6 linked regions of the Coturnix japonica genome follow. The main gene of each other region encodes a partner of the protein of the gene in region 2 in a complex. Links are inferred from orthologs where the notes say so. Each region holds a gene or a part of one and is shown on either strand. Other genes may lie near its edges.

Evidence for each region.
Region 1: TAF10 (region 2) and transcription initiation factor TFIID subunit 4-like share a complex: the UniProt entries of both Homo sapiens proteins name them as parts of the TFIID basal transcription factor complex. The link is inferred for Coturnix japonica from reciprocal best matches to the Homo sapiens genes TAF10 and TAF4.
Region 3: TAF10 (region 2) and TAF3 share a complex: the UniProt entries of both Homo sapiens proteins name them as parts of the TFIID basal transcription factor complex. The link is inferred for Coturnix japonica from reciprocal best matches to the Homo sapiens genes TAF10 and TAF3.
Region 4: TAF10 (region 2) and TAF5 share a complex: the UniProt entries of both Homo sapiens proteins name them as parts of the TFIID basal transcription factor complex. The link is inferred for Coturnix japonica from reciprocal best matches to the Homo sapiens genes TAF10 and TAF5.
Region 5: TAF10 (region 2) and TAF11 share a complex: the UniProt entries of both Homo sapiens proteins name them as parts of the TFIID basal transcription factor complex. The link is inferred for Coturnix japonica from reciprocal best matches to the Homo sapiens genes TAF10 and TAF11.
Region 6: TAF10 (region 2) and TAF13 share a complex: the UniProt entries of both Homo sapiens proteins name them as parts of the TFIID basal transcription factor complex. The link is inferred for Coturnix japonica from reciprocal best matches to the Homo sapiens genes TAF10 and TAF13.

What each region holds. Positions count from the first base shown.
Region 1 is NC_029526.1:9,439,438-9,443,893, forward strand, and holds part of transcription initiation factor TFIID subunit 4-like, read right to left. Parts: intron 2,352-4,456; coding exon 2,179-2,351; intron 1-2,178. UniProt on the Homo sapiens protein: The TFIID basal transcription factor complex plays a major role in the initiation of RNA polymerase II (Pol II)-dependent transcription.
Region 2 is NC_029516.1:173,985,330-173,990,560, reverse strand, and holds TAF10 (transcription initiation factor TFIID subunit 10), read right to left. Parts: upstream 3,236-5,231; 5' UTR 3,193-3,235; coding exon 2,997-3,192; intron 2,759-2,996; coding exon 2,610-2,758; intron 2,518-2,609; coding exon 2,453-2,517; intron 2,365-2,452; coding exon 2,250-2,364; intron 931-2,249; coding exon 841-930; 3' UTR 763-840; downstream 1-762. Other genes in the region: TPP1 (tripeptidyl-peptidase 1), read right to left, coding at 3,369-3,509, 3,628-3,765, 4,008-4,166, 4,256-4,376, 4,473-4,545, 4,622-4,810. UniProt on the Homo sapiens protein: The TFIID basal transcription factor complex plays a major role in the initiation of RNA polymerase II (Pol II)-dependent transcription.
Region 3 is NC_029516.1:3,777,639-3,782,094, reverse strand, and holds part of TAF3 (transcription initiation factor TFIID subunit 3), read right to left. Parts: intron 3,483-4,456; coding exon 1,660-3,482; intron 1-1,659. UniProt on the Homo sapiens protein: The TFIID basal transcription factor complex plays a major role in the initiation of RNA polymerase II (Pol II)-dependent transcription.
Region 4 is NC_029521.1:20,669,497-20,673,952, reverse strand, and holds the end of TAF5 (transcription initiation factor TFIID subunit 5), read right to left. Parts: intron 3,820-4,456; coding exon 3,655-3,819; intron 3,242-3,654; coding exon 3,064-3,241; intron 2,941-3,063; coding exon 2,763-2,940; intron 2,173-2,762; coding exon 1,955-2,172; 3' UTR 642-1,954; downstream 1-641. UniProt on the Homo sapiens protein: The TFIID basal transcription factor complex plays a major role in the initiation of RNA polymerase II (Pol II)-dependent transcription.
Region 5 is NC_029541.1:4,151,968-4,157,195, forward strand, and holds TAF11 (transcription initiation factor TFIID subunit 11), read left to right. Parts: upstream 1-2,144; 5' UTR 2,145-2,257; coding exon 2,258-2,449; intron 2,450-2,525; coding exon 2,526-2,656; intron 2,657-2,764; coding exon 2,765-2,852; intron 2,853-3,190; coding exon 3,191-3,287; intron 3,288-4,322; coding exon 4,323-4,453; 3' UTR 4,454-5,060; downstream 5,061-5,228. Other genes in the region: ANKS1A (ankyrin repeat and SAM domain-containing protein 1A), read right to left, coding at 1,630-1,850. UniProt on the Homo sapiens protein: The TFIID basal transcription factor complex plays a major role in the initiation of RNA polymerase II (Pol II)-dependent transcription.
Region 6 is NC_029516.1:74,708,611-74,713,824, forward strand, and holds TAF13 (transcription initiation factor TFIID subunit 13), read right to left. Parts: upstream 3,219-5,214; 5' UTR 3,113-3,218; coding exon 3,086-3,112; intron 2,994-3,085; coding exon 2,915-2,993; intron 2,826-2,914; coding exon 2,728-2,825; intron 1,400-2,727; coding exon 1,229-1,399; 3' UTR 781-1,228; downstream 1-780. Other genes in the region: NEPRO (nucleolus and neural progenitor protein), read left to right, coding at 1-30; GTPBP8 (GTP-binding protein 8), read right to left, coding at 4,822-4,906, 5,134-5,214. UniProt on the Homo sapiens protein: The TFIID basal transcription factor complex plays a major role in the initiation of RNA polymerase II (Pol II)-dependent transcription.

The sequences.
Region 1 (4,456 bases), on a different chromosome or scaffold from region 2:
ACCGTCCTGGACATAAGCACAGCTGCTGAAGTCACGGGAATTTTCCCTCCCAAACAACTTAATCTATTGATTAAGTCAATTCAATTTAAGAACACTTAAAACATTTATTTATTTTCCCCACTTTTTTTTTTTTTTTTTTTTTTTTTTTAGAGGCACACAGGTCTCTCAAAGAAGATGAATCCTGACTGGCTACAATATCATGACTCAAATCCCACCACCTTAAAAATACCCAAACTATTGTATGCTGTGAGGCATTTACCATTCCTAGGGCTTTGCCAGCCCCTATTCTCAAGCTGTTAATTAACACCAATACGTATAAAGAGATATCTATCATGCTCTGCAGGTTATCTAGCTGGTCAGAATCCTGTAGAAAAATAACTACATCATCCTAATAGTAGAACTACCTCCATCAGATTTTTAGCATCTCTGCCACCACATGAACATGCAGCATCCTCAGAGCTTAATTTTCAGAAAAACCCAACAAGTCAGATTACACTATTTCCACAATCTTAACAGCTTCACATAACTCGAGAACACCTGCCCGAGGCCAATGTGATCAACTCCCAACATCAGTTGTGCACACATAAAATTCCAATCTTACAATAAAGATTGAACACATGCAGCCAATTTAATTCTGAATGCTAGCCACAGCAATTGAAGTTGCACAAAAACTTACAGTATGAAACCAAAGCAACTAAACCTAAGTCATTTTAACAGACTGAGGTCATATTCTTGGTGCAGTCCCACCCATGATCTGTTATGCATTTATACTATACGCTCATCTCAGAATCCATTCCTAGAGTGTGTGCTATGTAAAAAGTGGAGCATTTATTTTAAAAGCAAACAAACAAAACAAGAAAGCAAACAACCAATGACAGACATACAAACTAAATAATGAACATTGTCCAGACTTTTTTTGGTGTCAAATTAGTTACAAAAAAACAACTGGAAATCAATATAGGCTTGTCGCTGTGTTTATTTTCCTGACATCTCACACTTATCTCTGAAGGATTTTTACAAATCTTCTTACCCTTCCAGATATCACGAATTTAGATATTAACCAGCTGCCTTTCCTGCAGAGTTCTTTTACAATATTCCATCTAATACTGTGCTTACCCTTTTTGCTGACAGCATTAAGTTTATCAGATGTTTCCAGGCTTTTGTGTTCTTCTTGAGATACATTCTTTTGAACTACACATTACTCCTATTACATTCACATCTAAAACTCGCATTTTACTTGGCTGCTCTATGGTTTAGATTACCTCATTTTCAATTATACAATTCTATTCTGGCTTCCTTCTCTTCTGAAAAGTTTATCACTGTTTTTAGTTTTTGACTAAACAATCTTTTAAACTACAAACAGGGTGTAAAACACAAAGCATATAATGGGATAGCAATCAAATATTAACACAGGAAAACACACATTCAAGATACTTCAAGCAAGCTACACAAGAATCAGTCGAAAATTATAAAGGTATATTTTTCACCCCATTTCATTTAGGGTTATCTATCTCTTCTATAAACAAAGAACTTAGGCAAAACTTCCTTTCACTCTGTCAGTAATTATCACAGCACAACAGCCCTACACATCTGAAGGCACTTGCCTCTACATCTTAGTAAGACAGTTAAGCAGTGGCCATACATAGTCTGAAGCTGAACAGCATCCTTACAGAATTTTAAACCAAAAAAGTATACAAAGTAATTGAAAATAAATAAATACACAAACTCCACACTCTCCACTGAAACAGTCTGGGGTAGAAAAGCACAGTATCCTGTCAATCCATATTAAAATAGAGTAAAATGTAGTCAAAACACAGACAAAACTTTAAGTGCAGACCAATCACATCCAGAAGTGAATCAAAGGAATCAAATCCTTCTTCCAAATAAAGTGTACTACAGAAATTTAAGTACTGTGAATTCTGGCACAGAAAGTGCTTTGCTTTTTCTTTTCTAATTTCTAGTAAAATCTAGTGATCACATAAATCCATTCACTGTGCTGGAATATCACAGTGACTCACAGAGGGAACAATGTCATTTACTAAGTCAATGGCACACATTCCAAACCAATTTCTGTCTTCGAGAAACATGTTTGTCAAAGAACTGATAATGTATGAGATGAGATGACAGAGGAGAATGAAACACACACACAAAAGCAAGGTGAAACCAAGCCAGACATACCTGAGTTGTTGTTAGACGAAAAACTGGGCCGCCTGTGGGCACTGAAAGTCGAGGCGAAATGCTGGTAGGACCTTGTCCCTGTGTCTGTACTTGAGCCTGCATTTGTGCCTGGGCTAGAGCCTGCTGAGGCACCATCACAAGTTGTCCAGCATCTGTGCGCACCAAGACCATACCTAGTGAGAATAAAGTGACAACAACTGTAAAGAATAACATGACAAATCATAAAGAATTGCATTTTTCATAAGAATCATAAAGAATCACATATTTCATAAAGAACTATGAAATACAGAATAAAATCAACAATAGCATTGTCCCGTTTGGAGAATTAAAGTTGAAATAAATAGTCATTAAAGTAAACTCTAACAACGGTCTAGTTGCTGAGAACAACATTTAGTTTGAACATACCAGGGACAATGACAAGAAAGCTCTACTAAAACAACAGCATTAGGGAATGTGTAGATGCAAATATTAAGCCAGACACATTCCTGAGTATACAATATTTGAGATCTAGTTAATGTTTCAGCACTGACACATTAATTTATTTGGCACCTACCATCACTGTACCAGGAGGTTTGGGCGTGAAGAAAAAACACTGTCACACCCAGAGACCCAACGCAACTAGGAGCATGGGGATCTAAGGAAAATCCCAAGGAATTGTTCTAAATGAACACAGTACTTTCTGGATGTAAATGAAAATACTTTTGTTTTCTCATAATACACTTCACAAATAAAAGCCTCTCTACACATCCAGACTTTCCCTTATTGTAACTGTCCTGCTTTTCCATTATCAGCAGGTCAAAAAGGAGCTTCCAATGGCTCAGCTGGCCCCTGGGTCACCTGGATCTTTACGCTTAATTCAAGATCACTACAAGCACATAATGTGCTTTTTCTAGATCAGTCAGAACTAAGAAGCCATTATCCAGATACGTTATTTAAAAAGAATTTCCAAGTTAGTCTCCGAATACATTCCAATCTAACTTAGATGCAAGTAGGATACATGATACTGTCAAGAAGGAACAGGTCTTTCAGGGTCTAGGAAATCTCTTTCAGTCTGTTAATAACAGAGCCAGGAGACATTGTTCCTGCAACTTGTCTATATGTGTAGATTTCTTCATGCACATTTGATAACTTTGCAATGGAAAATAAAGAAGGTAAAAACGTATACTCACTTCTAAGTATCAGCTTCCCAGAAACAAACAAACAAACAACCTCGGTAAATAGATTTTGAAACATATTGAGCACTATTATATCCAGCAAGTAACCAAATTCAGAAGCAGTCTTTACATTTATTTCAGTCTCTGACACAGAACCACAGAGCCCAGTCTCATGATGAACACAACTGAATTGCAGCTGCAATAGAAGCCCTCACTCACCAGCTCACAAAAATCACAAACAGAAAACACATTTCTGCCACTATGAACGGAAGAGCTGTGGGAACTGAGCTGTAACGCCAAAAGCACACAGAGCTACTGTGAGGATCTCATCCAAAGGATACATCACATCTCCCTCAAAGCCTGATGAAGTTTTAAAAGAAGAGTTCAACAACAGATCTTAAAACAGGAACTTTCTGGGTGCATCAGCCCTTCTGGCACCAGACCTAATGGTCTGTAGAAACCCCACAGGCAGATGCTGCATTGGATATCTGCTGTTCTGGACAAACCAATATTAATACACTGCCCCAATGTGCAGAACAGACACCATTCCTCTGAGTGTCATTAACCTAATAGAAAAATCCTTATAGGATAAAGCCTAGCACATATTAAAAAAAAAAAAAAAAACACGTTCTATTGGCATTACACCAATTCACATCTGTCTTGTTAATTACTTTTCCAACCTTGTAAAATTCAATCTGAATTTTTAAAAAAATTAATAAATGAACAGAATGTACAAATTAATTGCAACAGGAGCCACATGGTTTCAATAAAAGTTGCAGATATAACTGCTTCTACAGACACAAAGATGTTCGTGCAGCAATTTTATATTTTAATCCAGCTTTAAGGACTTGAAAACTATTTTGCAGCACGTAGGAAGTGATCAGATCCTCGGAACTGAGTTAAACATGGAGATTAATTTTTCCTTATTGTCAGCCACGAAAAGATCCAACTCATAAGCCAGTATGAAGTGCTAGAACTGGTTATTATATGCTTAATATAGTAATACTTGCTAAAATAAACTCATTCTAAACTTCTGCATTAGGCAGAAGATCACAGTACAGGAGTTTCAATATCAGTTAATAATGATGTACAAACTTAAGAGTAATTAATCAAAAATAACAGTG
Region 2 (5,231 bases):
CTTCCCTGGAGCCGCTCTGTGGGCTTCGGGCTCTGTAGCACCGATCTATGGCAGCACCTCCACCCTCCCTGGCAGCTGTGGGCAGACTGAGCAGGACACCTGGATGCAGCCACTGAGCGTGGTGGGGCTCTGCCGCCCTGAAGCCACGTCATGCTCCCAGGCCCAGGGCAGCTCTCCCACTTGGTCTCATGCTGACAGTGTCCAGTCCTGGTGCTCTTCCCTGCTAAGGACAGCAGGGGAAAGTTGCCTTTTTGTGCCCAGCACCACCCCAGCTTCGCGCTTCACTTTTTATCATTTCCATCCAGGCCACGTGGAAAAGCCGCCAGCATCTGAAATAAATATTTGTTATGAAAACTGGCCACGGGCCGAAGGGTGCGTTGATACCTCAATAGGCTGCTGGGAGAAGGGCTGCCCTTGGCACATGGAGCCCTGGGCGCTGGAGCTGCTCTGTGCCAAACCCAGAGCGAGGCAGAGGAGCCTGGCTGCAGCTGCAGCAGCCGTCACAGCCCCAGAACCTTCCTCTTACGAGACATGCTACAGGGAAAGAAAGCACAGAGGAAGCTGGGCGCTTCTGTTTGCACGATGCCCACAGCCCTGCAGCAGCTCAGGGCAGGCTGAGCCCTCCAGGAGATGCAGCTGCAGTTCCCTGCTGTGCAGCCCTCAGCCATCACCTTCTGTTGGTGCTGGCAGAGCAGAACTCCGTGGGCCAAATGCTGCTGCTGCACTGACAGCAGGAGGGCGGCAGGAAACGGGGGGTCTTTCCACCAGAAAAAAAACTACCCATTGGTTTAATGGAGCAGAAGCAAACCCTAGAAAAGTCCCCAGCAACGAGCCCTGCTTTCACGTGAAGTAGTGCGGCTTCTTCACATTGATGCCGTATTCCGCCAGGGCGGGCGTCAGGTCCTCCATGGTCAGAGTGTATTTCTTGTCCTGGGGACAAAGGGCAGCATCACTCACAGCACAGACACAGCACAGATAGATACATCACTCATAGCACACAGACACAGCACAGATACATCACTTGTAGCACAAACACAGCACAGACACAGCACTCATAGCACACAAACACAGCACAGACACCTCGTGCCTTCAGCCCTTGGTTGGGGTTTTGACCCTCATTGGAGCAGTCCATGTGTGTGTGATGCCCAGTGGCTGGGCATTAACCAGCACCAAGTGCCTGAAAGCTGCATCTGCTCTTTGCCCTCCACAGCAGAGAAACGCACTGAGCATTACTCAGCGCATCTATTGCACTGCCCCTAAGCCACAATTGGGGCTGTGTGGATTCCAGAAGCTATTTCTACACGCTTCCTCCCTTTATCTTTTTCCCTCAGCGTTAGTTTGGTGCCATCAGGGCTGGGTGGCCCTGCAGTATCTCCATACACAGCACTGCCCACCTCCTGCCCACCACGCTCCCTCCCATTTAGTCAGCACACATCAGCCTCCCATGAGGTTCAATAAGGACAAGTGCAGGGTGATGCATTGGGTTGGGGCAACACCAGGTGTGTGTACAGACTGGGGGAAAGTCTCCTTGAGAGCAGCCCTGCAGAGGACTTGGGGGGTGAGAAGCTGGATATGAGGCAGCAGTGTGTGCCTGCAGCCTGGAAGGCAACTGTGTGCTGGGCTGCATTTAAAGGGGCGGCCAGCAGGGACAGGGAGGGGATTGTCCTCTTCTACTCAGCTCTTGTGAGCTCATATCTCAGTGCTGAGTCCAGGCCTGGGGCCTCCAGCACAGGAAGGACATGGAGCTCTTGGAGGGTCCAGAGGAGGCCACTGAGATGAGCAGAGGGGCTGGAGCAGCTCTGATATGAGGAAAGGATGAGGGAACTGGGCTGGTTTGGGTTGGAGAAGAGAAGGCTGCGGGGAGACCTCATTGTGGGCATCCAGTACTTGAAGGGAGCGAATAAACAGGAGGGGGAACGGCTGTTTGTGAGGGTGGGCAGTGATAGGACAAGGGGGAATGGTTTGAAAGTGAGACAGGGGAGGTTTAGGTTGGATCTGAGGAGGAAGTTTTTCCCCCAGAGGGTGGTGACGCACTGGCACAGGTTGCCCAAGGAGGCTGTGGATGCCCCATCCCTGCAGGCATTCAAGGCCAGGCTGGATGTGGCTCTGGGCAGCCTGGGCTGCTGGTTGGTGACCCTGCACACAGCAGGGGGTTGGGATGGATGAGCACTGTGGTTCTGTGCAACCCAGGCCACGCTGTGACTCTGTGACCCAGGTCAATGCCTGGCAGTGCCCCCCATCACACCCACCTTGCTCTTGTTGCGGGAGCTCCCCGAGGCCGTTCCCTTCATCTTGCAGTGCTGCAGCGCGTCGTTGGCGATGTCAGAGATGAATTTCTGTGCGGCCAACGAGATCAGCCGGATGCTGCGGGCACAACAACGGGCGGGTGGGCGGGGATACGGCACCGGGGGTCGTTCCGCACCCCCCCCCCCCGGCCGCCCTTTACACTCACATGCGCGGGTCGGAGGCCTCGAATCCCGCTCTGTTCAGGTAATACCCGGTGACGGCGTCCGGGATCTGCAGGGAGAGCCGCGCTCAGCGCCCGGTGCTCAGCACTCGGTGCCCGGTGCCGGTGCCCGCCCTCAGCGCCCGCCCCGCGCCGCTCGTACCGTGGGCGTGTAATCCTCCAGCTGCAGCAGGAAATCCACGAGCGGCGTCCCCGACACCACCGGCTTCACCTCCCCGTTGGCGGCGCCGGGCGGCACGTAAACGCCGTTGGACATCGCTCCTTCGGGCGGCGCCGCGGCCGACACGGGAGCTACGGGAGGAGGCGCTCAGCGGGACTCACGGCACCGCACGGTACCGCACAGCACGGCACGGCCCGGCACCGCACGGTATGGCACTGCAAAGCACGGCACAGCACAGGCAGGCCCGGTACAGCACGGCCCGGTCCGGTCCCTCACGGCCTGGCACATCACGGCCCGGCACCGCACGGCCCGGTCCAGCCCGGCCTGGTCCATCACGGCCCGGTCCCGCTCTCCCCTCCCCGCACTCACCGGGTCCCCTCCCCGCCGCCGCTCCCCCGTCCGCTCCCCTGGCCGCTCCTCCTGCCGCACTGGGTGGCGCCCCGGGGACGCCGCTGCCGCCCGCGGCCGGGCTGTGCTTGTTGTCCCCGGTGGTCCCGGTGGTCCCGGGCGCTGCGGGCGCTGCGGGCACCGCGGTGCCGGGGTCGCTCTCGTTGCTGCAGCTCATGTCGCCCCCCCCGACGGCTCCGGCCGCTCCGCAACGCGCCTGCGCGCGACGCGACGCCCCCTCGGCCCCGCCCCCTCCCGCTGCCCATTGGCCGCCCCGCTCCCGTCCCCGCTCCCCATTGGCCGCCCGTCCCGTCGGTCCCGCACACACGGTTCGTATCGCGGCCTTTATTGGCGTCACGGCGCCGTGAGCGCGCGCAGCAGCTGCGGGAAGTTGGGCGTCCCCCACCCGGTCACCGCGTCCCAACCGGGAACGGCGCAAAAACCGCGGCCCTGAACCGCAGCGTCCAGACACGACACGTGGCAGCCGACGGTCACCTGGGGACGGGGCGGGGTCAGCAAAACCCGACCGGACCGGACGGGACCGAACAGCCCGGCTGGGACCGGACCCGCCCCGCACCCCCCGGGACCCCCCCCCGCCCCCCGCCCCGCTCACGTCGAACAGCGCCGCGCCGTGTCCGCGCTCCCGCAGCCGGTACAACGCGGGGTTGATGAAGCCGAGCGGCGGCTGCCCGCCCTGCAGGCGGCGGTCATTGATCAGCGCCAGCAGCCCCGCCACCACCGGCGTCGAGGCCTGGAACGAACGGGGCAACGGGGGACACGGCTCAGCGCCGGGCGGAGCGCACCGACACGACGGCACCGGAACGGGACCCGACGGCACCGAACCGGGACCCGACGGCACCGGAACGGGACCCGACGGCACCGAACCGCGACCCGACGGCACCGAACCGGGACCCGACGGCACTGAATCGCGACCCGACGGCACCGAACCGGGACCCGACGGCCCCGAGCCGCGCCCCGCCGCCCCGCGCTCACCGACGTGCCCGACACCCAGGGCAGCGGCAGCCGGTTGGTCACCACCCAGTAATTGTCCGACAGCGCGGCCAGGTCGGGGTAAGCGCGGCCGCTGCTGTTGTAGTAGGAGCCGGGCGGCAGCTTCGGGGCGGAGCGCAGGAAACTCCGCACCGCATCGGCCTGGGGGAGGCAGCTCCATCAGCTCCATCAGCCCGATCAGCGCCGGCACCGGGGAGCCCCCCCCGCGGCCCCTCCGCCCCCGGCCGCACCTGGTAGTCGGGCATGGGGAAGACGTTGCTGAAGCCGCCGCCGCTGATGTAATCCGTCACCTCCTCCGTCACCAGGAACGGGTTCTTGAAGGACGTGCCGCCCACCGTGGTCACGTAGGGGCTGAGGACGGGCAGGTGCTGCGGACCCCCCCAAACCCGACCCCCCCCCGGGGCTCACACCGCCCCGCAGCCACGAGGAGCCCGGGGCCGCCGTTACCTCGAGGCCGGGAAGCTGGGCCGGAACGTGTGGTTCCCCCCCGGCACCCTCCGGCACCCGGCACCGTCATCACCTGCGGGCAGCCACGAGTGATGGGGGCGCCCGGAGCGCTGGGCAGCGGGACGCCCCCGGCCCCGCAGCTCACGCACCCGAAGCGAACAGCACGGTGAGGCCGCGGGCGGCCGCCTTCATGAACTCCACGTTGACCCGCTGCAGATAGGCCTGAGACAGGCTGTCCTCGTCGTCCCCGTAGCTGACCGAGTGCACCCAGGGCAGCGCCGACATGTTGCTGAGCAGCAGCAGCCACGCCAGGAACGGCTCCTGGCTCTCGTGCCGCCCTGCGGGCACAAAGCAGCAGTTCCAGGGCGGATCGGGGTCACTGTGCTGCCCCAGCAGCGGCTCTGACCCTCCTGCCCCTGCCCGTGGGTGCAGAGCTCGGTTGGATGCTGCCTTGAATTCCCATCAGCAGAGCAGCTGACGGCAGCACGGCAGGGATGGCTCTGGGACCAGCACCAATCCCTGCCGAGGCCCCTCCTGCCCCTCTCCCCTCTCCATGCAGTGTAGGGCAGAGGGTCCCAGACTCCCTGCAGCTGCTCAGAGTCTCTGTCCTCTTCTCACACTGCAGGCAGCACAGAAGAGACCTGCACACAGGGTCTGTGCACCAGCACACATCAACAGGACAGAGCACACGGTCCCGGTGCACTCAGCCCCCGGCCATCCTCTAACATGGACAAACTGCTGTTGCACAGCACCAGCACA
Region 3 (4,456 bases), about 170 Mb from region 2:
AATGTTCGGTCTCTATTGAAGCTTTACCAATTTATATTTGTTTGTGTAGCTTTTATATTGCTCTAAAACAAATTAGATGGGAGAGATTTGGGGAAGAAATGCAAAACAGACAAAAACCAAGCAACTTATCTCTATTTTATATATGTGTACTTAACTTAAAGAGAAACGTCTGCAGAAATTCTCAGTGAGATACTGACAAAATGCCTCGAGCGTGAGGGGCAGAGAGAAAGCTGCCATGTAGACAAAAGGAGGAGTCCATGCAGCAGCTTTGCTGCAAGCTAAAATTCAGACATTAAATTAACAGGGACAGCCGGAGCACCACCCTGTCAATCACTGATTCATCCATGGCAGACAAATGTTAGTTTTCCAGATCACCTGGATTCTGCACTGAAAATCCGTTTTCCAAGTTAAAAAGCTGGTATAAGTTTTGAAATCAGCATTTTGTTTCAAGTCTGCCAGACAGCACACCAGGGTACCATCCCTCACAGCATCGAAAATGGATAGCGAGGAATATCCCAAGTCTGAGCTTGTACAAAGTGAGTATTATACTCAAAGCAGAACGTAAAGAATATCTCTGTAAAACCAGAATGTAAGCGGTGCTTCCTAATGCTAAGGATAGAGATTTAAGAAATCCTGCATCCAAGGTTATCAGTATCCAAGACAATCTCTTTCTTTTCTGCTCTTTTTTTTTCTTTTAGTATTAACAACTGAATGCACAATATAAGTTTAAGTGACAAAAAGTACAGCAAACCTTGAATTAGGGAAGTCATTTCTAATGGGATTTAAAATCAGATAACATGCAAATATGCTGGTTTCATTTTTTATATATTAAAGATATTCTCAAGATTAGGTGATATTGGAAAGAAGGAACTGTCCGTGGCTGATATAAACCAGTAAGAGCTACAGGAGAAGAAGCAGCTCAGTCCATTTGAAAGCCAGGTCTCCTCCATCTCAAGCTTAAAAATCAAAACAAAAGGTGATATTTGAATATTCAGAATATGCATTTAGACTACAGGTTGAAAACAATTTTCTTACTTCTGTCTAACTGGAGCATGAAGGCTGAGGTCTTCCTAATAGAGGATTTGGTAGCTCTACTGGTACACAAATGATGACTTATTCTAGGGTGGTCTGCTCCTCATTTATGGCCATCCAGTAACCTACAGACTTCTACAGGCTTTGAAACAGTAAACTTCTAGAAACTGTATTTGAATTTTATATGAAAGGCTGTTGGCCTCACTAGAGGAAATCCACAGAACAAAATTTGGGCATTGCAACAGAGCATACATTTGTTCTGCATTTTGCCACTGAGTGTAAGTCTTGGCTTTCCAAAGCGAAAAGTGAGTTGAGGAAAACCAGAAATCTCACGTAAAACCAAACCAACCCAATTCAAACCAAAATCAAGGCAAGATCTCATATTCCAAACTCACAAAATTGAGCTTCTATTCTTTTGCCTCCCAAAGAAGTAGGGTAATACCTGAAATTTCTGGGGTGCTTCTTACATTGAAGCAACAAACAACACTGGTTGTTTGTTTGTTTTAAAGTGTATGAAGTCTGTGGTCACATATCTTCTGTATCACATATGCTTCTCAGCAGCAAATTCAGGAATCCATGTGCACTTGTCAAACAATGATGCCATCTCAGCTCTTTTAAACAACTCACCTTTTCATGTTTATGTTTCTCTTTTTCTTTCTCCTTCCTCTCTCTTTCCTTCCTCTCCTTTTCCTTATCCTTCTTTTCCTTTTCTTTGTCTTTCTCCCTTTCTTTCTTTTTCTTCTTCTCTTTTTTGTCCTTCTTCTTCTCTTTTGGTTTTTCTTTGTCCTCAAACAACTTTTCAGGAAGCATAGGAGACAAGGAAGGTAACATGCTGGGAAGCCTCATGGCAGTTGGTGTGCTGAACAAGGGCAAAGACATTTCTTTGGGAGGTAACACAAGAGGTGCTGATGGGGGCTTTATCTTATCTTCCTTACTCTTATCTTTAACTTTCTCTTTGTCTTTCTTATCCTTGTCTTTTTTACCTTTCTCCTTCTCTTTCTTCTTATCTTTATGTTTTTCTTTCTCTTTTTTGGTATTGCCATCTTTCAACTTTACTTTTGTGTCAGCATCCTCAAAGTCTTTTAGTTTGAATTTATAGGGATCATGTTCATCATCTTTGAGAAGTTCCTTCCACTGAAACTTCGCCTCCTTGTTTCCTTCCTTGTCTTTATCCTTCTCTTTGTTTTTTTCCTTCTCTTTGTTTTTCTCCTTGTTTTTCTCTTTATCTTTTTCCTTCTGTTTCTCTTTCTTCTTCATTTTTGTCTTCAGCTCTTTCTTCAGTTTCTTTTTCACTTCTACAGAGGAAGCCAACTTGGTTTTCTCCTCATAGACTTTGAGAAGAGGTTCTGGAGTTGGCGGTGAAGCAGAAGGAGAAGAGAAGTAAGTGAAGTTTGCAGGTGGATTAGAAGGTGTCCCCATGTTTGCCTTTCGAATGACTTCATCAATTGAGTCATCCATTGTCCATGAAATGTCTGAACTCGAAGTCCCACCTGATGGAGGTATCGGAGTTGCTCCTGCCTTATTAGAACAATTAGCAGAAACAGAAGGTTTAGGAGTTGGAGTTGTAGTCTCTGAAACAGAAAGTCTTTTTGGACTGGTAAAAATTTCCCCTTCTGACTCAGAACCAGAGGAAAACTCAAAGGGATCGGGTTCTCGCTCAGCACACGCACGAGCAATCACAGCATCTATTGAATCATCAATAGTCTTGTCCATCACCGGTAATTTCTTAGTCTGGTTTTCAATATTTGGCTTGGTCACAGGCTCAGGTGGTGTCTGTCCTTGTTTTACTTGAATGTTTTCCTTTCCTATTTTGTCACTTAATGCAGCCAGAGGGGTTCTGCTTGGTGTTTCAGGTTTAACAGGTGGCGGGGGGACATGAACGGGAGCCTTTGGACTTTTGGGACTTTTGGGGCTCTTGGCGCGACCTGGTGACTTTTTTTCTTTGGATCCAGTTTTTGGTGAACGTATGGGACTTCCAGCAACCACTGGTGAGGGGGTAGTTTTAGGTGATTTTGTCTTTTGTCCTGGAGAACTTGATTTGGACTTTGTTTTGGGTGCAAGTGGCTTTGACTCTAATGTCTTGGGGGCTGGCACTTGTGGTTTTGCAATGGGAGCCAACATTGGTGGTTCTGGTGAAGGAGGGGCTAAGTCTGAACTGTCCTGAACATGAACTGGAGAAAGCATCGGAGGTACTTTTTGAGTATTTATTGAGCTAAGAGGCTCACGTGGTTCCAAAGCTCCATCCAGAGCGTCTCCTTTAGAAACAGACAGTTTTGGTCGTTTCATGGGTGGAAATTCTTCAGCATCAGGACTTTCTAATGTTCTCTTGCTCAAGTAATTTTCATCATTAATTGCCTCGTCCTCTTCCATATCTCCTTCTTCTTCCAGTGGCACCTGCATGGCCTCTGCAGATGTACCTCCATCTGTTGGTACTTGTTCCTCTTCCTCTTCTGTAACAAAGAGCATTTTAAATAAGCATTAGGGATAATTCAAAATGTGTTTTACAGAAACAAAAAAGTATCAAAAGTTCACATGCATTTTAGCTCTCATATGTTACCTCCTACATTAACTGTCCTTAAAACCACTTCATGCCAGTCTACTTGAAAGAAAAGTGAGGAGCTTCTTCTGGATCATAGCATCCACTATGTGTACATGTAAGTAAAATCCACTGGAATTAGCGGTCTTGTTTAAATATCGTAGAATTTTGATGGCGAATTAACTACTAGGAAGATGTCTTCCTAAACTGGATTTGTTTTTCTTGAAGTGGCTCAGCTAGAAGCCATGGACTGAATTTTGTTCAACCTGCTAGGTTCTGTTTCTGATTCACCTTAAGAGCTTGCTGTATGGTACACTAACTGTTACGATTACATGGGAGCACCCCTGTGTCAGCATGTATGTGTGCTGGTTTGGATCAGGAGCACAACTTTGAAATTCATCGCCCCATCACCCTGCTGTTTTTTTGCATCATTGAGCAATTCTGGAGAACATAAGCTGGATTCCTTCTTTACTGAAAGCGAAATGAAAGATACGCTGCCAAAAGAATACACCTAATGCTTGAGTTGCAAGTAGGCACTTAGGCTATGGGACCAAAAAAGCCAACTTTTTGAAAATAAAACAAATTCCGAAACATGAACGGTTATGAACATCAGGCACTATTTCAAGCCATCATGGACATCTCACGTATCGCTGCTCTGCTTTTGATAAATCATTTTGTTTTTCCGTTTCAATTTCTCAATTTTTCCTACATGTACCACCATCTTCAGTCTCACACGTGTCATATTATGGTGTAGAGAAGGGAGAAAATTCACTCAATATCTCCCAGAAAATCCATGGCAAGTTTGAGAATGAGAACCTCTGATCTCCTGAACCACAGCCAAGCACTTTATCCTCTTGGCTACACTTCCTCACTTTTAAAATGGAATTA
Region 4 (4,456 bases), on a different chromosome or scaffold from region 2:
AAAGCATCTCTATGTTGCCAAGTGTCATACTGGACATCAGTAAACTTGCATGGCTTACAATTACTCGGTTGTGCTGGTTACTCCCTTTTTTAACGCTTCTGGCTATTAGCTTACGTGGAATCCATTACTTAATTAATTAATGGTAATGCAATGCAGAATAGCAGTCAGCTGCAGTGTCAGTTGCCTGTTTTTTGCATAAAATCCTTTGGTTTTGAGTGAGAACATCCCACCATGGAGCGATTTTACTTTCTCAAAAACCCCAAACTTAATAGCAGCAGGTAAATGTGGGTGCTGGCAGAAAGAGTGTAGGTCAGGGGAAATTACATGAGGTTCTTGTGATCTCCATCCTTAATTTATTATTAAAGCCATCCTTCTGAGTAAATGTAGTCTTTCCATTCTGTTTACATCAGCCTCTGCCCTTTATGTCCTTCCAGAGGAACAATAGTTGTTGTAACTGTAATGCTTGGCAAAAATGTATCACATACAATTAGAACTAAATCTTAGTTAAATCATCAGCTGTTGAACTAACTCCCTTGTTTCTCCAAGCAGAGCACTCGCTTTTAAAAGCATTGCTCTCACATCCACTGCAGCTGTCAAGGAAAGAAAGCATCTTCTTCCACCATACAGTCTACAGACACAAGCTGTGTGGTTTTAGTATTTATTATACTATCAAAAGTATAAAACTGTACAAAATAAAAAGGCAGAATGCAGCAGTGTTTTCTTCAAGCTCTCAAAGCTGTACATGCTTTTAGGTAACTTGTTTGATTCACTACCATTTTAAGTCCAGCTGATCGTATTGACTACTAGGAAGTTCTGATGTACCTTTACAGATCAAATCCATCATAGTTTAGTTTTAACCATTTCTCTTTAAAGAATGTTTCTGGATTAGCTTCCTTATGAATTTTCCACCTTTCCTTTGACATTTAATGCCCCGATGCCTCTTTACTCCAAGGCTTAGTCAGAAAAAGGATGAGACAGGAGGTAGTTCTTTGTTTACCTTGGAAACGTCAAGTCTTGGTTTTCTGCATCTTCAGTAGAGAGCCAGCAGATTTCTTTTTCTTGAATTCAGATTTCAGTTTCTTGATCCTTCACTAGCTTTAGTGTGATCTGTTAAACTGTTTTCTCAAAGGATGCAGGTTTTTGAAGCTCTTCAAATCTAATAGAACGTGTGGGGGCTTAAGAATATTGTTTTTAAGATTGGGTGATGCGTGTCTCCAAAGAATTCACATTGCAATCTGCGTTCCTTATCGCACAGCAGCAGCTTCTTGTCAGAACAGAATAACAAGATCTCCATTTCTAATACCTCAAAAGAGCACAAAGTTTGAAATCTTTTCAGGACTTGGTACTTAAAAACTACACGTAACTTCTCTGCAGTTCCCCACAAGCCTCTGCCTGTTGGGCTTATTCTTTCAATGCCCTATTTGTTGCTATAATATTCTCACCATTCCTGTTGCCCAGCCCAGGCTATAGTGAGTTAAACTACATTCTCCTTTTCTGAGTCTGAAGTTTTCACCTGTGTTTGAGACTGATTAAACATTAGCAAACCATATATTAAGTGCTTTAAAAAAACTCATTTGAGAACACAGACCAGGGCTGTTAACTTTCCAGAAGTTTCAGCAGAGCTCAATACCATCTCTGAGAGGAGACAGCCATTGTCATATATATACATGTATGTATGTATATATATACATATGGATACATTTATCAAAAGCACCATGAAACAATTCCTTTAAATTCACACTGTCTTGTCAGTCTCCAGCATTTTCAAACTGTGAGAGCAAAAGATGTGAATTACGAGAGCAGAATAGAGAAGATGTCACTTGAGTTAGTTTACAGTTTTGTTTTTCCTGCAATGGACTAACAAAGTCCACCCATACAAGACATTCCTCTTCATCTCACATTCTGAGGTCACTGCTGCAACAACTTGGCACAGCCAGTCTTACGTCTTCCTGATCTACTGTGAACTGTAGGCTCCTGCAGCCAGCAGCAAGTTCCTGCGTGTAAAATGAAGGTGTACAACTGGAGTTGATTTGGTCATGTATGTACCCAGTAACAAGTCCTGGGAGTTTTCAGGCAAGTTTATGTGTCCAGTGGCTGTAGTAAAGTCATCCGTTTCTAAGTCTTCAAATGCTTTCACTGCATCCCACAGCCGAACTGTGTTATCCATTGAACCTACAAGGGAAAAAAGGAAAGTAACATTTAAAAGTCTTTTCCTTGCTAGACAGCAAATTAACACAACAGGAATTAAAACTCACAAAGCAGAACAGCTCATAACTGAATACTAAGCACTCATCCTGCAACGAAGCATTTTTAAACAAGCCTTTAACACAGTGAAAGCAGGAATAAAAGCCATCACCTGCCATCTAACAGGAATGCACTGCAGATAAAGTGCCAAGAAGCACCTCTGAGAACAGCTGGGTTTCCATTCTATCAGCCAGCACTTGAAAAGGCAAAACAACCTTAGGCCTACATGCCAACTCCACCAGATGTTTATGATTCTAAGTCACATAATGACTTTTTTCTTGACACTTGGATACTTCCTTTGATAGAGGGAAGAGCTCAGTATTTTGCAGGCCCAGTGGACTCTGCTTTCATTGGAGCACTGGTCAGCTGAAGGAACCATTCACTCTTGTGGTAGCGGCTCACTCAGGATTTAGTGATTCTAATTAGCCTTACTCAGCTTAAGGTACATTATCATTACATAATCCCACTTCAAACAGATGGAGCACAATGGAAACATGTTTGCTTCCAGTGACTTTTACCTGATGCTAAGATCTCCCCATCTCTACTGAATCGGAGCGCATAGATAGTGTCAGTGTGCCCTTTCAGTTCTCCAACCATCAAACCATGTCCAATATCCCACAGCAGAACTCTGCCATCTGTTGCTCCAGTAGCCAGGAATCGTCCATTAGGAGAAAATGCCAATGAATGAATCGGACCCTACAAAAGACATTTGCAGTGAGGAAAGCCAAACGAGCTAATTAGTCAATCTGCACTTGTTCTGAATGCTACTCTTCAGAATCACACCACAGAAATTAAGTCACATTGGTGATGTGCCTTTACCTTATGTCCAGTGAATATTCTTACACAATTCCCATTTAAAACATCCCACAGCCGTACAGTCCTGTCTGCTGAGCCAGTGGCAATATAGTTGGAGTTAGGGTGAAATCGAGTACACGTCACATCAGCAAGGTGGCCAGCAAATATCCGTAAAGGCTGGTAATGATCTGTTGCCCACAGTCTGAAAAGAAAAGCTTTGTTAATAAAGGGAGCACTAATGAAGTTCAGAATCTGTTGCACGGTAATAAAAGAAATAATTAATGAGTGGCTTCTTACTGGTAAATTTGTTGAATTAGAAGGATCGATTCTGGAAAACTATGCTTTTGGGAAGGGAGAAATAAAGGACATTCTGTCATGGTTATTAAACAACAGGAGAAAATATTTCTAACATGAAATGACCACATAGGAGGATGATGTCTCTGATGTGTGTTGAAAAGGAAAACAAACATATATTAAAATAGTTGCTTAGTATTTTAATTCGTGTGTAATAAAATTTATTTCCAGTAATAGGTTATTAACTATATCAGCCAATAATCACTTTCTGAGTTAATTCACCACAAAACTGGTATGTAGAAAACTCATCTAATTTCTTACCTAGCCACTCTGTCATGTCCCCCCGACACAAAATAATACCCATAAGGAGAGAACTGCGTATCCCATACTGGATAGTTGTGTCCTTTATATCCCACCAGACAAGTGAATGTTTGGAGGCTCCACAATCTGACAGTACCATCCTCAGAACAGGACAACAGGTAGTTCCTGTCACAGGAGAAAGTATAGTACATTACATACCAAGTTAACAGACTGTGTAGTCATTGCATAAGCTCTGTAACAATTCTATGATACATAGAACTCTCCACTGGGCAGCTACTATTTAGTATTTCCCATTAAAATCAGCATTTTACTGAAGTAAACAACAATAAACTGTTCGGGAAGAACTGAACCCTTGGTTGTCAAGCATAAGAGACATTTGAATGTTGATGATTAATTCTGATGACACAGCAATACAGAGGGGCTGCAAAAAAGAACTAGTCTTCACTTAAGAATTACATTCACATGCGGGGGGAAAAAGCAGTAGATTGCTACACTATATTACTTTAGAATAATCTTAATGCAACTCTAAACTATATGGTAAGATTCCCTGAATGTGAACTCGGTATGAAATCTTTTTCTTAATTATTAACAAATTATGAATAGACTCTCTATATAGACTATAGGCTGTATATAGATTCTATAATCATGTTCCACACAAAGCTTACTTCTCAGCTGTATTTCTGTGATGGTTGTCTCTTGTGTAGCTTACATAATGTTTTCAAATCTCTTATTTTAAAGAAGATACAAGAGTTACTTTGATCTTCTGGTAAAAGCCGCATTATAAACACGTTCACATTCATAG
Region 5 (5,228 bases), on a different chromosome or scaffold from region 2:
ACTGGCAGCCACAGGACTCAGTGCTCAGCTCAGGGTGTAACAGCAAATCTCTGATACGGTTATTGAGAAGCAGATGATATCTGGCTATAAACAGGTGAGCTGTATCCTTCCAAGCTGTATCCTTCTAAACACACAGAGCACAGTGATGGCACAGCTCAGAAATGGGCTCAAATCCTCCCATCCTACCCCCAAACTACTTGCTCAGGGAACAGAATAGAGCTGGAACTGCAAAAAAGCTGCAACATAAGAAACGCAGCAGCAAGTGGCTTCTTTAGGAGATACCGGATGGGAGAAAAAAAAAGGGGGAGGAGAAAATACTAACACGTAAAAGCTTCAAAACAGAGTGAATTGCACAGCATGGTCCTTTAAATGCAACAGCAAAGGAGCGTGCCCTCCTTCTGGGTGCCCGTGAAGCTGACCCTGAGCTGCCAGCCACTGTCAGGCTGAGCTGTGGTGGAGCAGCATCGCTGCAAGCAATGGAAATTATTGAGGGTGAGCACGTACAGAGCACACACAGTGAGAGGACACCTTGCTCAACACCCAGCTGCACATCCAGCCTGTGAATTCACCCACGACCAGAGGAAACACATGCACAGTCACCAGCCCCTGCTGGCACACTGACCCGGAGTCCTGCTCTTCCAAACACACGTCTTCCCAGTTACACCAGTCTGCTGCAACCAACCACAAGCAGCAGCACCTGCAGCAGCCCAGGGAGCAGGCAGAGCCAAAGCCATCATGGGGCAGCACCCAGCCCTGCTGCACTGCTCTCCAACCTTACAGCCCCACCTTGGGGCACAGAACCCCCAGGGACTCTGCTCCCAACCCCTGCAGCACCACAACCTCGGCAACCCTCACACACCCCATGTACCCCACAGTCCATGCAACCCACCACAGTGCCTCATCCCATCCCCTTCATGCACTCCTTTTGACACACACAGGCCCAGACCCCAGGGGCAGCAGTTCTCCATTTACAGTACAGATACATTCATATCCCACTGGGCTCCATCCCACACCATGCCATGGGAGCTCGGACAGCCCCTGTCCCACAGCCCTCCCACCCATACATTCCACCCAAGCACAGATTCCAACCCACAGCATCCCCTGTACCACAATCCCTTCCTCACCCCAAGCACACCAACAGCCAGTCTCAGAAGCCCCAAAATCCCAGCTCATCATTACAAACCCACTATCCCCACACATCTTGTGTCCTCAACAACGCACCCCTATCAACCCCACAACCCCTACACCCACACCTCACCTCAAGCAGCACAGTCCAAGTCTCCCAGCACCCCAACTTCAAGTCCACACACCTTCAATCCTTCTCCACAGCCCTACAGCACCCCAACCCCATGCACCCCACAGCTCCTATAAATCAATGCTCACCTTGAGAGCCTACAAACTTCACACACTGCATCCCCCACAGCCCTACTCTCCCCTCAGCTTTCACCCACAGCTCCCAGCCCCAAACTACCCCCTGTGGGGGGCTCCTACCCCACAGCCCTCACCCCACAACCTTCCCCATCCTCCTCACCCCACAGCCTCAGCCCTGTACCCACCTCTAACCACAGCTCCCCAGCTCCATGGGCCCACCCCTCATAGCCCCCATCCCCCTCATTGCCCCCCACTCACCTCAGCAGACTGGACAGCGGGTGTCCCACTCCTCCACCTCCTCCTCCACCTCCTCCACCGCCGCTTCCACCACCTCCACCGCCCCCGGATCCTCCTCCGCTCCCTCCTCCGCTTCCCCCGGAGCCGAACCCTGAGCTCAGCCGTTTTCCCGACAGCAGTTTCTCCACAGCGGGCAGGTTCCCGGTTCGTGCGGCCTCCAGCAGCTCCTGCTCCTTCCCCATGGCCCGGCCCGGCCAACGCCGCCGCCTCCCGCCAGGCCCCGCCCCGGAAGAACGCTGAGGGGGCGTGGCCTGAGGCCGAGTGGGCGGGGCCTGAGGGGCCGTTTGTTCTCTATTGTGGGCGCGGCCTAATAAGTGGGCCTGGTCTGCTGTAGGCCCCGCCCCTGGTGGATCTATATTCTCATCCCATTTCTCTTCATTATCAAATGGAACTGATACAAAATGACGCGTAGAGCCCGTCAGCACGGCTATAGATGGGGTGGATCCCACCCTGCTGTGCCGGGTCCACACGCAGCTCACAGCTCTGTAGGCCGCACGGCGCTCAGCCCCGTCGCCATAACGACAGCAGCGCCCCCTGTCGGCCACCGTAGCGTGACGTCATCACCAGGCGACCGTAGAGACGAGGCGTAATGGCGGATCCCGGTGAGCCGGGCCGGGAGGAGCGGGGGGGCGGCACCGAGCGGGAACCGGCACCGACCGCTACATCACCACACGGCGGGGATGGGACCATGGAGGAACCGACGGCCACGGACGGGGTTATAGAGGGGGACATGGAGGCTGGAGCCGGCCAGGAGCTCAAGGCGGAGGCGGCGGATGGGGAGGTGAGGGCTCAGCACCGGGTCGGCCGGGAGATGAGGAGAGAACGGGGCCGGTCCATAACGGTGTGTTGTATCGTAGGGGAGGAGCGGGGACGGGATGGACGGGGAGGATCCGAACCTGCAACAGGCGGCAAAGAAGGTGAAGGTGGAACTGAAGGAGAGGAAGGAGAAGAAGCACAAAGTGGACGAGGATGAGATCCAGAAGATGCAGTGAGTGCTGGGGAATGGGCTGCGCTGCAGGGCGGGGTTAATGGCCATGAGCAGCATCAGCATCGTTTGTGGTTCAGCTCTGTGAGTGATTCGTCCTCTCCCTTCCAGGATCCTGGTCTCCTCCTTTTCCGAGGAGCAGCTGAATCGCTACGAGATGTATCGCCGCTCTGCCTTCCCCAAGGCTGCCATCAAACGGGTACGACTTCAGTTCGTGCTTCAGCACAAAGCAAACGGCTCAGCCTGGCCACAATACCCCCCCCCCAACCTCCCCTCCCCAACATGGCTGTGGGGGGACAGCGATGCAAAATAATTGCTAGCACTGATCTGTAGCTGAATCAAACTAATCTCAAATTGTTACAGCTACCATGTGCCCAAAGCTATAGGAGCTCATTCCAAAGCTCTGTTACTGTTGTTTCTGCTCATTTTGTTCACTGGTGCTCAGTATTTGGCTCCAATCACTAAATATAATTTGAAGTGTTTCAGTGTTGCTGCATGTACCTCATTTGACTGACTGCCTGTTCTTTGCTTGTGCAGCTGATCCAGTCCATCACGGGCACCTCTGTCTCTCAGAATGTGGTTATTGCCATGTCTGGCATTTCCAAGGTCTTCGTTGGGGAAGTGGTGGAGGAAGGTGAGCAAATCACATTATTGTTCAGTAAAAAGTTAAGGACACAGAGAGCACATCGCTTAAAGCAGAGAGACATGAAACAAAGCTGGACTTTTGTGGCTTCTTGTCCAGGTGTGCAGCCTGGACAGTGCCCTGCAGGGCCCTCCTGCTTTCAGCAGCAGCAGAAGACAACTGTTAAAACTTGGGACTTCTTGCCCCTACATGAGCAGGCTGCAGTGCTACAGCAAAGATCTCATTAATGCTACTGTGGACAAATTCAGCTTAGAAGGGAAATGCGTTATTTAAGCCTCTTAGCCTGCAAGATTCTTTGTTAATGCAGTGAGCTGAGATCTCCTTGGGATAGACTGTGCAGCGCTGACCCAGTTGTGTCCCTGCTCATGCAGAGGAGGAAAAGATTCTTGTTTTTTGTGCCAGCCACTTAGTACAGGCTTGTCACACAAAACACACAGCCTGGACTTGCAGGGGTTGCCATCAGCCAGGATGATGCAGCTTTTGGCACTTCTGCTGCTTTGACTGTGTCTGCAGCTCTGTGTTGCCAGAGGCAGTCTGGATAAGCAGCTTCTCTGCTGTACTTATTGCTTCGTGTCCTTGGCAGGAGATCTGAATTATACTTAACAGAAGTGAAGCACAGGAACTGCCCTTTAAGTCAGCTGTAGGTGGTTCCTTCCTCCTATCCCTGCTGCACACAAGTCCCCAAACATACTTCACAAGCTAGAAGTGGTTTTAAAGTAGCAGGTTTAAGATGATGAGGCCTTTTCAAGCTCTTGCATGACTTAGTCTATTCCATAGCAGCTGGGACGTGGTTACAAAGCAGCTGATTCTGAGCTGGTATTGATGCCTCAAGGACTAGTTTTTCTTCAGAGAAACACCCAAAGCTGTTTCATCCCTTTGTACAGATAAAACATGAGCTTTGAACACTGTTACCTGTTGACTTTATAATTGAAGTTCAACCAGTGGGAGGCTTTTCAAATGTCTCCTGCTGGGAGAATGGCAGAGCTGAGCTGTCCTTGTTCACGTCAACTCTTGTCCTTTGTTTAGCACTGGATGTGTGTGAGAAGTGGGGGGAGCTGCCACCTCTGCAGCCCAAACACATGCGGGAGGCTGTGAGGAGGCTCAAGTCACGAGGACAGATCCCGAATTCCAAATATAAAAAGATCATCTTCCACTGAAGTGTCCTGGGATCAGCAAAGAGAAGACAAGTTCAAACAAGCTTTGGTTGTGCACCATATGACAGTTATGAGACAGAAGCATTCCCCTCTCCCGCTTGCAGTCTTCTCCAAGGAAGCTGTACCAAAGCAAGCTCAATTCAACGTGGATTTCAGTAACTTCAAGCATCGAGGTCTTATGTGGATTGCTTTCAGTTTACAAAACTACCATGAGTGTTCTCAGCACGGCTCATGGGGCAGAAGGACAGGGAGAAATGCTGCAGCAGAACCTGCAGTTGCTCCCATTAAACTCCCTGCCAGCAGCAGCACATTGTGTGCAGACATTCATGTAGGCATCCACGGGGATGTTTCCTGCAGTAACTGCTGAAGGCCAGTTTGTCAGCTTAGTGCTGTGCAGGCTCAAGGAGGAGGCAGATCCTTGGCCTGGTGCCTCAGGGTCCTCAGATCCAGCAGCCTGGGAAAGGAACATGCAACGTCCTCAAGTGTATTTACCCACCAGCATCGTCCCTTCTGCTGGCACAGGTGCAGTGTTGTCTCTGTACAGAAGCATCTTTTTTTTTTGTACATTAAACTTGTTACTATATTCTTAGTCTCCCTGGGACAGCAAATACTCATTGTGTAATTGTGTTTGTGTGATTCAAAGTAGGGAGAGCGCGCTGCGATCTGTCTCAACCAACCCCAACATGTCCAAGGAGCTTCACGCCTCCGGCATGTATTGCTCCATTACCACCAGCAAGGGAACACACTGAAAACTGATGTTTCTTAAGTCATCATTTGG
Region 6 (5,214 bases), about 99 Mb from region 2:
GACTCTATTTTTGCAGCAATGGGTGTCTGATTCTGGACTAGGAAGAAGAAACGTGTCTTGTTTTTCTAACTAGAACTTGGAATGCCTCTAAGTGTCTTGGTACCTCATACACTGAGTTCTATTAACAAAGGAGTAATGATCTTATTTTTGTAAACATTTTTGTTGTTCTTTTTTATGGAACAGTGTTCAAAACAGATGAGTAATCTGTATCCTTTTTACCCAGCCTTGTCCAGGGACAGCAGCTTGGAGTTACTTCCTACTCAGTGCCTTTTCTCTCCTGTCCTGAAAAGGTGTTAACCAAATCCTGCTGCTTTGGAAACAGGGCAAAGCACAGTTGGAGCCCGCAAGAGTAAACTTATCTGTGAACAAGTCCCCCAGTGTCCTGAAGTCTTTTCAAGTGTGCAGTTTTTGCCTGCTTGGCAATGTGTAGCTATTCCAGCACATACTTATTCCTTGCTCTAACATTATTTCACAAGCTTAGTGCTTTCCATCGAGCTCTTATTTGTAATTACCCGGTGATCCTAATCTTGTGAAAAAAGTTCTTTGAATTAAGTCAGATCAGTTTTATAGTGGAGCATCTGCCCAACAGGGGCAAGGCAAGGATCTGAGTGCAACTAAATCTGGAACAGGTTAATTTCAGTTCTCTAAGTGTACAGTAAAAACAGGAGAGCTGTGTCTACTAGGACAGAAACAGCACTTAGAGCTCATGAGATGCTACAATAGCCAACAATTTTTATGTGCCCTGCGTTAACTGATCAGTGTACGTGTAGTTACGAAGAGTGGGCACAGACTCGAGTTGCTTTATTCAAGTTTATGTACAGAGCAGAATTTGTAATAGTTTGGGCTTGACAACTTTGTCCAGTTAACCAACATCTATTTTCCAGGTTTCCTGTCAACAAAATACCTCGACATAACCAAAGTAGAGAAGAGCTTGTCATGGGCCTTGTAGATTCCCAATTCAGCTGTCCTACTGCAGACTTCTCACCTTTAAAATATCTTTAGAGCTCATTTCTCAAATTCCCATAATGGTATAAAAACACGTTAGGAGCGCCATGTGTAATCAGTTAACATCTAGCTGTTTGAATGCCTACCACAAGAGGCTGAGAGGCAGAGCAGATAGCAGCAATGATCTCCAGCTCAAATAACCCCTCAAAGCAACACACATGACATTTCTTCCTCTTGAGCAACAGGAGCCCACAGCACGCTCCAGTCAAGCCTGTACACAGAATCAAGATCCATAGTTTGCTTCATCAAAGGCCTTTCTGGCACGTTTCAGTTCTTCATTCATAGTCAGAAGGTCTTTAACTCTGGCAAACTTCCGGGGGTCCTTGCGGATTAGGAAGACAATGTCCTCAACCTGTACACGGCCCTGCCGTCCAATTGACATGGCTTTGTGTGTCTGCAAGAGAGAAACATCAGTGTTCCTCTGCCCCTTTTAGTTTTGTTTTCAGATCTCAATCCTACTGTATTTACTGACATTTTAAACAGTCTAGAAGGCAGCAAGTGCAGGATCTGGGCATTGCCATCCAAGTGCAGTACCTCATATACACTGGGTACCACTGCACACACAACAGGAATGTCTTTGGAACTGAAGGCAGACTGGGGAGGGGACACCTGATCTGCAAAGTGCTTGAGGAGCAACAGCATCAAGCAGAATCTGCATGCAGTATGCAATACCTGCATCAGAGGACAGTTTTTTTCTATTGAGAATAGGCAAGGCTAACTTCTCATGAGAAGGGATCCACAAACAATACCACTTTTCTTATTCTTTTTTTTTAACATAAGTGCTCAAGTTGTATCCAAATGTCTGGATCAGCAGTGGCTTTAGGGCCCAGATGGCTGCATTTATTTTATGGTGTGGCATTTCCATCTGTGTAAAGGCACTGAGAGAACACAAGAAGCACATAACATTTCAAAGCTGAGCCATCTGTCAGCAGAACACACAGCGATGCCACTGGGTGCCTCAAAGTCAGCTATGGATTTTTTCCCCTAACTGTTACTTAAAGCCTCCGAACGTTGCCCTAAATCCATGTGGAGTAAAATGTGTTAATTCTATCTTAATATCGGAAGGGCAATCACAGAATCACAGAATGACCCGGGTTGGAAGAGACCTCAAGGATCATGTAGTTCCAACCCGCCTGCCTGGCAGGGCCACCAAACATACACCTTTACTAGATCAGGTTGCCCAGGGCCCCATCCAACCTGGCCTTGAACACCTCCAAGGACGGGGCATCCACAAGCTCCCTGGGCAGCCTGTTCCAGGGCCTAACCACTCTCCTAGTGAAGAACTTCCCCCTAACATCCAACCTCTTATATCTGAGTTTAGATTTCTTCCCAGCAGCACACGAGTTTTTGCCTGGGATAATGCTGAAGGAATTTCATTGAAGCAGAGGGAGCCAAAGCATGCTCCCTACACCAGGTTGCACAGGTAGGAGTCCGAGTGGGTCTTGAACAGCTCCAGGGAAAGAGACTCCATAATCACTCTGGGCAGCCTGTTCCAGTGCTCCGTCACCCTCTCCATGTAGAAGCTCCTGCACACATTTGTGTGGCTCCATGCTCCAGTTTGTGGCCATTTCCCCTTGTCATATTGCCACATGCCGCTGAAAAGAGTCTGGCCTCATCCCTTTGCCTCCCACACCTTAGATATTCACAGACATTGATCAGATCCCCTCTCAGTCTTCTTTTCTCAAGGCTAACAGACCCGTGTTTGGCACACCACTGACTTACCATTTCAGTGATAAATTCTATCACCAGGTCCTCAAGAATATCCACAGATTCCGTGTAAGGGTTCTGGTCATCTCCAAATCCGTACATCATGCATCTTACTGCGGGAATACACACAGCGTGAGGCCTCCATCTGCTCAATGCATCAGTAACGCTCCCACCCTGAGCTCCCCCCCCAACCTGGACTCACGTTCTTTAGAGAAAAGCCTCTTCCTCTTGCCCTGCCCGCCGTCCAAACCGCCGCCGGCTTCCTCGGAGTCCTCCTCGAACTGAAGGAACAAAGCGGAGGAAGGAAGCCGTTAAACGGGGAGCTCCCTCCCGCCCCGAGGCTGAACGCAAACAACCCATCCCCGCCGCTCACCGGCGCGTCCTCCTCCTCGTCCGCCATGGCCGCCACAGCCCGCTACCGCTTCCGGTTTCCCGTTCCCGCCTCCCCTGGGGGCCGCCATCTTGTTGTGCCGTGTCTATAGCACCCAGGCTGTTTCCCACCCCTCACTCATCTAGTGTGAGAAATGCCTTGGGAACTTAGGCTATTCAAAAGATTTTTTCCTTAGGAAGACGAAGGAGAGGAAGAAAAAGGTGCAGCTGAGGTACAGGCACTGGAGAAACAAAACTTTACTGGACAGCAGAGTCAAGAAGAATCTATGGAGCACTTGCTTAATTCGATTTTATTTATTGCCACATCTGTCACAGAGCTTCCAAATCTTGCACATAACAAACTGAGGCCTTGAAGATAACAGCTTGGACTACACTGATGCTTTTGAAAGACACTGGTTTTAAGATACAAACACACAATTATTCCCAAAACATTGACTTGAGTGTTTTCCACCTCTCTAGATCCTACTGTATTTATTTCTAGAATCAGACACTCACAGGCCAGTTTGCTTTGGTGCATTTTGGGATTAGAAGCAAAACGGTAGCATGACATGCTTGATCTCTGCTTACATGTAGAAACTGGAGATCCACATCTCCCTGCTGGTTTCTTCATCCTGCCACTTCCTACATATCTGCTGGAAACAAACTTCAAGCCTAATCTGAGAGTTACAGGACATTCCTTAACGTAACAAACAGTAGAAACACCACCTTCAAGCCTCAGAGTGGGTTATGAAAGAATCACTTTTCCTTGAGATATAAACATTTAATGTAAGTTAACCTCAGCAACTGTATACGCAGAATTGGCAGTCTTAAGACAGGACAAGATGTGTGCCAGAGTGTGACACAGGCACTTTATTAGCTTTGGTCTAAATTGCTGTGTACAACTACTGCTATTTAATGGCAGTCCTTTTTGTACATTCTGTACCAGATGTGGTTTCCCTTTGACCTTAGCCAGGTACAGTGGCTGCAGGACCTCTGTGTTGTGCTTCAGCTCCCAGGGCAGGACAGATGTAGGTAATGGACCCATCTCTGGTAACTGAGCTGAGCGCAGCTGCAGAACTCACGTGGGATTTAAAACAGAAGGTTCATGCAACACTGAGTGATGATCAAGTGCAGGAGGAGAGAGTTCTGCTAGGTGTTGTTCATTCATCACCACTGTTTCAAGCCAACAGCCAACCAGGAGGCAGATCCCATAAAGTAGGTTTCCTTTTCCACATCTGCCCGTAACAGGGACAACCAGATGTAGACAAGCAAGGCATGCCATGCTATCACGCTGAACCTACGGAATGCACAATGCAGAGGAGTTACAATAGTGAAAAAAATACAAGTTTCCAAAAAGCTTTTTGCAAACAAAGCATTGACTGTTTTCACTCTGGACAGCCTTAGAGCAGGCAGGGTGCCCATACGCTCATTTAAACTGCTAGGTGTCATTCAACTCAACAAAGCAAGTACCTGGCTTCTCTCTGGAGGTTCTCTGATTATTTCTTTTCCCTCCCTTGACACAAACACATAGGTTTTGTGTAGTACCCAGGATTCATTCACAGTGATTAAGAAGTTTATTAAACAAAAAGCTCGCCTTTACAAACATTACTTTAGCCAAAAATTTATAAAAGTTTATCCAAAAATAATTGTGGTGCTTCAGGTTCTTACAACAACAATCCAGACCTCTGGTTTTGGTACCTTTTGTTCCAGATGAGCTGAGCAGATCAGGAGCCAGACTTCTCAACTGGACTCTACACTAGGCAGGTTTCCAGTAACATGGGCTACAAAACACCTTAGCAAGTGGACTCCCGAAAACTCCACAGAACTGTGGAAACAAAGGTATGATGTTCAGTGCTTGATGCTACAGTATCTTGAAGCAAGACAAGCAAACTCAACCACTTAAATTACATCCCCACATTGCAATACAACATTAATAGAGTAAGCACTTCTAATGTAATCAATTATAGCTAACACAGTTCCAGGTGAAGGTAGGTTGGTCAGTGCAAATCATCATCTACAAGGCACAGCAGCAAGAAAAAAAAAGAGCATTACCTGACCAGGAATAGCTGAGGAAAGCATCCCTGGGTTTTCTCCTTTACAAACTCCTGGATCCCCAGAACATTCTTTAACAAC